2 linked regions of the Oryzias latipes genome follow. The protein of the gene in region 1 interacts with the protein of each later gene in a pairwise test. Links are inferred from orthologs where the notes say so. Each region holds a gene or a part of one and is shown on either strand. Other genes may lie near its edges. The genes, in order: fam92a and cby1.

Region 1 (4,372 bases):
GCTGACACAAATGTTGTATTTTGTTATCTCTTTGTTAAGATATAATTAATGAAACAATCATTTTAGATGCTGCTTAATGTTGTGTCTCAAACCCATGGAAAAAATGTGGATATCACTGTAAATATTTTTTAACTACTGGGATATAAGAAATGCCTATTATATATATATTATCTCTCTAGTTTTATCTCTCATAGATTTTAAAAGGACATCGACACCAGCTGTTTGTTTGTTTATTTATTTGTTTATTTATTTATTTATTTTATTGCAAAGGTCACCTGGAAATTGTTTCACATTTACTTGTTTATATACCACAACATTTTGGACTGATGAACTAAACTTACTGGAAAAACATATTTTTCATGATGTTTCTTTTTGTTATAAGCACATTATTATTGGATAAGAAATTGAAAACAATGATGTCTATTTAATCAGTATAATTTTTCTTTCATCAAAATTCCATATGCAAACATGTAAATACAGTGATCCCTCGCTATAACGCGGTTTACTTTTCACGGATTTGCATCGTACATTGTGTTCTGCATTCTGATTGGCTAAAAAGTCACTCCGCTTCTTCTCTACGTGTGCGTCAATAACGTTTAATATGTGCAAATTCGCTTGCAATTTCTAGTTTCTCTGAAACCCATAGAAAAAAAGAGCGACAACAACTGCCTATCACTATGTTCTTCTCCCAAACAAACACAGCTGCAGCGCGGGCTTCATAAGAAGAAAACACTGCAGAGTGGAGTCAGGATGCAGCGGCTCAGTCTGAAGAGCAGTGAAATACACCTGAGTCACTATTTGTCCGACTGTACTTTGTATTTTTTTCATAGTCATTTTTAATTTTCTCCCGTTTAATCGCGGTGGGCGGGGCTAATCTCCGCAATTTGAAGCTTTCTGTTCATATTGATGATTAAAATTATTATTTGACAGTACAGTACAAAAGTTATTTTTTGAAAAAAAAAACGTTTCTAAAGTACTTTGATTTGTGAAACAAATGCTTGAGCCTGTAAAATGGTTTGTTCTTTCTTTTCAATGTATAATAGAGTTTTTAATTGGATAATAATTGTAAAAAAAAAAAAAAAAAAAAAGGTTTCTACTTCACGGATTTTGCCTATCACGGGTGCTTTTTGGAACGTAACCCCCGCGAAAAGCAAGGGTTTACTCTATACCCACATTAAACCTTATTTACCTCTTTTCATTTGTGATATAAAAACAGTGAAGCTTTTATAATCTCAAAGAATTTGAAAACTATAAAAAAAACTGTTTTCTTAAAAGTGGGGGTGTAAAGTAAGCTTTCATTTTTACAACTTTGTTGTACCTTTTTTGTTTTACAGTCAGAGTCTAGGTGTGTGCGTCATTACACAACTCGTTTTCCCATAATGCAACAGTCAAGCGGAAACGCTGTGGAGAGTCCATGGAAACGACAACTGCCTCAGTAGCCGTTAGCTTGCCTGCGGACTGCAGCAAGACTTAAAAAAAAACAAAAAAAACAAAACGGTTTCTCGTCACGATTTTTGAAAACACAAACATGATTCGGACTCCTACTTTAAGAGCCAGGTAAGAAAAATGTAACGAACTAAAGAACTCTGCTATTGTGAGAACAATTTGTTCTTGTGATGACTAATTTAGCTAGGTTTATACCCTCAGTTTCTTGACATGTAGCCGTTTTTTATATTTTGTCAGATCATTTCAATTGCTTCATGTTCAAAAGTGATGCTTTTCCAGGCTAGCCCGTTCATTTCCTCGCTTTTTTCACCAGAAACAATGAGAACACTTTCAAATTAAAAGCATAAAATGGAAATAATTTAGCTTAACACAAATAAGATTAAGGCCAGGTTTATATGGTCATTTGCTTATTACTAAGTTTTTGGAGGATTTTATTTGCTGGTAGTTTTAACATATATAAATTGAGAAACACAATTTTACCCCTCACGTTTTACCTTCATAATGACTGTTGCCATCAATCCCCTCCAGAGACAACCAGACAAAGAAGATCCAAGACAACATCACCAGGGTGGAGAAACACTTCGGAGAGATGTGCCAGCTGTTTGCGGCGTACACTCGCAAAACCGCCAGGCTGCGAGACAAGGGGGACCTTTTGGTCCAGCAGATAGCAGTTCATGCCGACACAGAGACTCCAGACCTCAAGAGGGGAATGAAGGAGTTTGCTGACCACCTGGCCAAGATTCAGGACTACCGCCATGCCCAGGCACGAGATACACAAATCTTTTACCCTATTTTTATATTCTTTTTTGGTTTGTTTTGTTTTTTCCATATATATATTTCCATATCAGTTATGGTTTGAATCCATCCATCATGGTAATATTGTTTTCCTGTTTTCTAGGTGAAAAGACTTGAGGCCAAAGTTGTGGAGCCATTAAAAACTTATGGCGCTGTGGTAATACGCAAAAGAGTGAGTCACGTTCCTATCCTGTTTTCTCTGATACATTTATTACAACTTAGGCAGATTTTTTGTGACTGCATTGAACTGGGGGGGGAAAAAACAATAACTAAGATTTCTGTAGCCAACAGAGGGCAGTGTTATTCAATACATGTCTCCACTTTTAGGAACTTGAGTTTATGTCTAAATACTGTATTTTCTTCTTGACAAAAAAATTTCCCACGTGTGGGATCAATAAAGTATTTCTGATTCTGATTAACTGTAGCACTACATTTTACAAAACATTTTTTTTTCATTCATGGATTTAATTTACACAATTTTTGTAAAATATTGGCTAAAAATAAGACTTTTTTCCTTGGTTGTAATAAAAATAAAAAGCCTTGTGTAAAATTAAATTACATCTTTATTCAAATATACAATTTATTTACATTTATTTTGAATTAGAAATAGTATAAATACAGTCTCCTTTTTGATTTTGTACATTTCTTTTTATAAAAGCGGATGTTTTTGCTTGATTCCGTCAGGATATTGACATGACACTATATTTCTGTATCTGAGTGTTTTTTTTGTTTGTTTTACACTTAAAGCATTATTAAATCACTGCATTCTATGTCCCATTTGATTGATTCCTCTTGCTTTTACCACCCTTCAGGAGGATGTGAAAATGACCCAAAGTGCCATAGATAAAGAAGCCAAACAGGAAGCTCAGCTCGAGAAAACAAGACTGAAAAACCCCTCTGACAGACAGATCATTGTATCCTTTTCATTCCTATTTCTATGAATGTGATTCATACTAAATGTGTATCTAAATATTCATGTTTTTCCCTTGACCAAATCCTCAGTCTCATGTGGGTTTGGGGTAAACCCTTTTTCTCCTTTCGTAATGATGTGGCATATCGTGACTTTAAATTATTTCCAGCATTATTTAACATTTTTCACATCTCTATGGATAAATAGCTGATTCCAAAAAAGCTTAATTGAGGTTGACCAAAAGGAATTATAGTTTAATTTTGTCATATGATTTGGAACTTTCCTGCCATCAGGCTGAAAGTGAATTACAAAAAGCCACAATGGATGCAGCACGGACCACCAAGCAGCTGGAGGAGACCATCGATGAGTTTGAGCGGCAGAAGATCCGTGACATCAAGGTTTTTCCCCTCATCTCTGTCATTGTTCCATAATGGGCCACATTTGCCTTTGTTCCAGTTCTAACTCCAGCCTTGCGTCCCTCTTTAGAAAATCTTCAGTGAGTTTGTGACTGTGGAGCTGTGCTTCCTTGGGAAGGCCTTGGAGCTGTACACCTCGGCCTACCAAAGCATTCAGAGTGTGGACGAGGAGGCGGACTTGGAGGTACACTGGTTTTTCTGATCCCGTCCAGCTAATTAGCCCGCTTTAGTGTGCTAATGTGCTTCAAACACAGATGTTGCATATTAGAAAAAAAAAACTGTTCTCTCACATTCCACTGTTAGAAGCCAGGTGTGTAATTTTGTGCCGGTTTGTGTACAGCCTCTGCTCTTTGTTTGACTGACCTAAAGACTCTGTTTAATGTTCCTACATTTATCGCAGAGATATCGACTCATTACTCACTGACTCATTGTTGATACACATCCTATTGTCTCCACCCTTTATCGCAACACACCTGTACAATTTAAAAAAAATGTGTTTGTTCAACATCAACTAAATGGTTCCCCATACCATTTCTTTTCTTTTTCTTTAAACAAAGCTTCAAGAGCAAAAGACAAAGGATCAGTGACATTCTGTGAGTGAGGAGGTTCTTCCAGTGGTTGCGTTTGCCTTCCACCCTCGCAATCCTCTCATTGTGTGTGTGTGTCTGTGTGTGTGTGTGTGTGTGTCTGTCAGTCAACTGTCTTGCTCTCATTCATATCAATGTGAAACTCCTAACCGACGCCGGCCTGTTTTTTCAGTGACTCATAAAATATAACATGAGCGTTTGAATCATCTGTAACCAGC
Region 2 (3,852 bases), on another chromosome or scaffold:
TCATTCAAGACCCAAAAGAATGAAGATTATCACAAAAAATACATAACAGCAACTTGTATTGTTACTTTTGATGACATTAACTGGACCTCAAAAATGTTTTCAGGGGGATTAAAACTCGTTCATCTTTTATCAGCTGAGGGTACATGTTGGCGTAATGACTGATCATCTGTCTGCAGAATCAAAAAGACCAAAGCAGATTAAAGAAAACATTATTTTTCAACTTCCAACAACTGCTTTAGCCGTGTTAAACAACTTTTTTCCCTTTTGCTGGCTCTGAAAGCGTTCTTCCTCACCCAGCGGTGAGGTAGCCCTCCAGGTATCCAGCCAGGAAGAAGGTGGTCTCATCATCCAGCGGACCCGCTCCATAGCCTGCCCTGATCTCCAGCACACCCCATCCAGAGAGCAGCAGGGTGTCGTTGAAGTAGCCGTAGGCCCCCCCCTCTGTCTCCATCACTCCCTCCGTTAGGATTACACTTTTGTGGGCAGCATCCCAACGCACGGTGGCCTCTCGGAGCTCTACCATTGTAGGAGGATGACCAGGGTTAGAGGGTTGAGGTTAGATAACAGCGTTATGTAACATGCCTCCTATGAAATATTCTATAATATCGCATTTTGTTTGTTTTGCAGGGTTATTTCCTATTAAAATAAACGTAATCATAAAACACCCGAGGTATAATGTTTTGTTTGGAAAAAAAATCGGATTTATTCTTACAGAGGGGATTTTACAACTATGAAAAATGTTTACTTTACTAAAGATGTTAACATTAAATATTGCAAAAATACAAGAAAACTGCTGAATGGCAAAGATCACGGCACCATGCAACACATTTAAATAAAACTCAACAGATTGGTTTGTAATGGGAGCATAAAGGAGCATTACTCACGGTGGGATTGAGGCTTAGAGCACTTTTTCCTTGGTAGATCCATGGGTTGCAGCGATGCAGTCAGTGTGCACAGCAGTATACAGATACTCACTCTTTGAAAGTCCATATAAGCTGTTAAATCACAGAGCTGTCTCTGCTTCCAGTCCGAAAAACTGCATCCGTTTATGTTGGTTTTTGATGCTTGTCACATCCAAAAAGTCTGGTTAGCGGGGGGGAAAAAATATACAACCACCCCAGATGGGACTCGAACCCACAATCCCTGGCTTAGGAGGCCAGTGCCTTATCCATTAGGCCACTGGGGCTGCGTCGACAATCGCAGCGAGATTAGTATTAAAAGAATATGGACAAAGGAAGATGGGTTGTTATTGCTTTGTTATGTTTATATATATATATTTTTGTTCTTCAAATTATGTCCCAAATTGGAGAAGCGGCAATAAACTTCGGCAGAGAAAATGAATTTTGGTGATTCGCCAAACTTTCAGGGACGATTCAACTTTCACATTAATAGGGGGGTTTCATCTTCCCAAAAGCAATATTACTTTTGTAATGTTTACACCTGTTTTACATACATCAACAAACGTTTAACACAACAATTTCATTTATATATTTTTTTAATTTATTGTTTTTTTAAACAAAATACTTTTAGCTTTTTGTTTTGTTTTACATTTTACAGTTTCAAATGGTAACTTCGCACTTGCGCAGTAGGTAGTTAGCATGCTAAAAACAAGCGAATATCAACACAGTACACTCGGATTCTAAATAAAAACAATATATGGAGGTAAATATATTATCTGAAAGGTCAAAGTAACACAAAAACTACTAAATTCTCTTATAAGTTAAAAAATAAATGAATACATCATCACAAAATCTACCAGATACGATTGTTTTAGACAGCTAGCATCATGTATTAGCATGCTAGCTTAACCCCCTTTAGTTGCTGCCGTTAGCAACCATAAACAAATGTTAGCTGACGTTATACAGACACTGGGATCGCTGTGACTCTCCTATGCAGGACCTTAAAAGATCTCTGAAGATGCCGCTGTTTGGAAACTTGTTCAGTCCGAAGAAAACTCTTTCCCGCAGATCTGCGTCCATGTCCAGCCTTCACACGGTGAGTGAAAAGCCTCACTTTAATTACAGGGCTGTGTTTGTAATTATAGTTAAGGTTATGAAGGATGGCTGATGAAGTGAGCAGAAAAGGGAGAAGCTTTCATCATATCCTGGTGTTTATTTGACCTTTTCATCTGTTTTAGTTGGATCATTCGACCAAAGAACTAGAGCTGGGCTTAGAGTACGGACCTCCCGAGGCCAACATCGGAGGCCAAATCTGGAAGTTTGAAGGTGGACAGTGGATCACAGGTAGTGACTCCTCACACAGTTTGTGTTGCATCTTCTTTACATTTAACTTCAATAAACAGGTTATGTTCAAATCAAGGTCTTAAATCCTTGACTTGTGTTCTCTGTGGATTAAAATCTTCCATTCGTTTCGTTTTTATGACTATTTCCTGCATCGCTTACTGTGTTCAGTCAAAGAAATAGAAATATATTTTGTTTAAGCAAAAGGTGTTTACAATACTCACTCAAGGAAAATAGATTTAAAAGACAAGTATTTTAGAAAAACATCAGGAAAAGAGAAAATTTTGTTTATTCCTAGCAAAGTGAAGTGTTTTCATAACAAAAATAGAGTCAAAAGATGTTTGTTTTTTCTTCACTAGTTTGCTTTATCCCAATATTAATATCTTACATTTGATTTTTCTTTAGAGTCCGTTGGGAACACGTCTAGTAGGGAAATGCAGCGGCTCAAAAAGAAAAATCTCCAACTGGAGGAGGAAAACAATCTCTTGAAATTAAAGATTGAGGTTCTGCTGGACATGGTACGTTTTTAGTCATTTCTTCACAGGAAAAGTACATCTAAAGGCATCGATTTGACCTTGAAATGTACATACAAATAACAAAATTCCGTCTTTACATGTAGGGATTTAATGACAAACAGTGAATTTCTTTTCCAGCTGACGGAAACTACAGTGGAGTATCATCTAATGGAGAAAGAAGTGGAAGACATAAAGACTCAACACAGAAGAAAAAAATAATCTTTTCTTTAAGTGTCTTTTATTTATCTGTTGAAATGTGTTTTTTTTAAAATGATTTGAATTCTTTTTTATGTCATTTTTTGTGGGTTTTCATCTTTTTAACATCTGTATTTTTTTTTAAATAAATTGATCATAATGGTAAAAAAAAAAAAATCAGCTGTAAAATGAAACAAACTTTTGTTCGAGCATGAAATTTCACTCTCATTTGTCAAGGTAAAGTCTAAAACCACAGCACAAGTTCTGCTGACCTTTGACCTTCAAAAAATAAAAATAAAAACTCCTTTAGTACTTTCTACAAATGTCGTCTCCTAACTCCTCGAGCATCATTGGGATTATGAACGCCGTTGGCGCAAAAGTGGCGTTCCCCTGTTGCCGGCACATTTATTCCACGAATCCTTTAAGCTGAATGAAAGACGATAATAATAGGAATGTGGGCGTGGCTAACAAAAAGCCTCTGTTGCTAAGGAAATCAAGAAGTTTACTTTAGCAGATTCCTCTAAAAATGACATTGACTTGTTCGTCATCCCCAGGCGACCAAAAAATGAAATGGTTGCTATGGAGATAAAACCAACAGAAGGCCACCATTTTAAAAAAAAAAAAGTATTTTTTTTGTATTTGTGTGCAGCTCTGACCGGGCTGGCAGGGGTAGAAGGGGAGCCTGAAGGGGGTAGGTGTAGGTCAAAGGGGGCCGTGGAAGCCGTTTAAAGCTACTCATGGCTGTTATTTGACTTCTGTGTGAAGCTATTGTTTACATCTTTCTGCTCTACATTAAAAAAAGAAACAATATTTTTTCATTCGTCTTTCATCCTCAATAAAAAAAACTTCAATTATTTCAGGTTTTTGCGAGTGTTGAGGTCAGAGGTCATGTCAACTTCTGA

Evidence for each region.
Region 2: the proteins of fam92a (region 1) and cby1 interact in binary tests that used the Homo sapiens proteins (3 or more experiments, as listed by UniProt). The two-hybrid records come from large-scale screens. The link is inferred for Oryzias latipes from reciprocal best matches to the Homo sapiens genes CIBAR1 and CBY1.

What each region holds. Positions count from the first base shown.
Region 1 is NC_019869.2:22,775,233-22,779,604, forward strand, and holds the start of fam92a (protein FAM92A), read left to right. Parts: upstream 1-1,361; 5' UTR 1,362-1,528; coding exon 1,529-1,557; intron 1,558-1,974; coding exon 1,975-2,209; intron 2,210-2,344; coding exon 2,345-2,413; intron 2,414-3,053; coding exon 3,054-3,155; intron 3,156-3,243; coding exon 3,244-3,249; intron 3,250-3,444; coding exon 3,445-3,549; intron 3,550-3,637; coding exon 3,638-3,751; intron 3,752-4,372. UniProt on the Homo sapiens protein: Plays a critical role in regulating mitochondrial ultrastructure and function by maintaining the integrity of mitochondrial morphology, particularly the organization of cristae.
Region 2 is NC_019877.2:2,312,796-2,316,647, forward strand, and holds cby1 (protein chibby homolog 1), read left to right. Parts: upstream 1-1,572; 5' UTR 1,573-1,656; coding exon 1,657-1,662; intron 1,663-1,896; coding exon 1,897-1,995; intron 1,996-2,137; coding exon 2,138-2,243; intron 2,244-2,645; coding exon 2,646-2,758; intron 2,759-2,893; coding exon 2,894-2,974; 3' UTR 2,975-3,273; downstream 3,274-3,852. Other genes in the region: phospholipase B-like 1, read right to left, coding at 87-170, 294-516, 885-990. UniProt on the Homo sapiens protein: Inhibits the Wnt/Wingless pathway by binding to CTNNB1/beta-catenin and inhibiting beta-catenin-mediated transcriptional activation through competition with TCF/LEF transcription factors.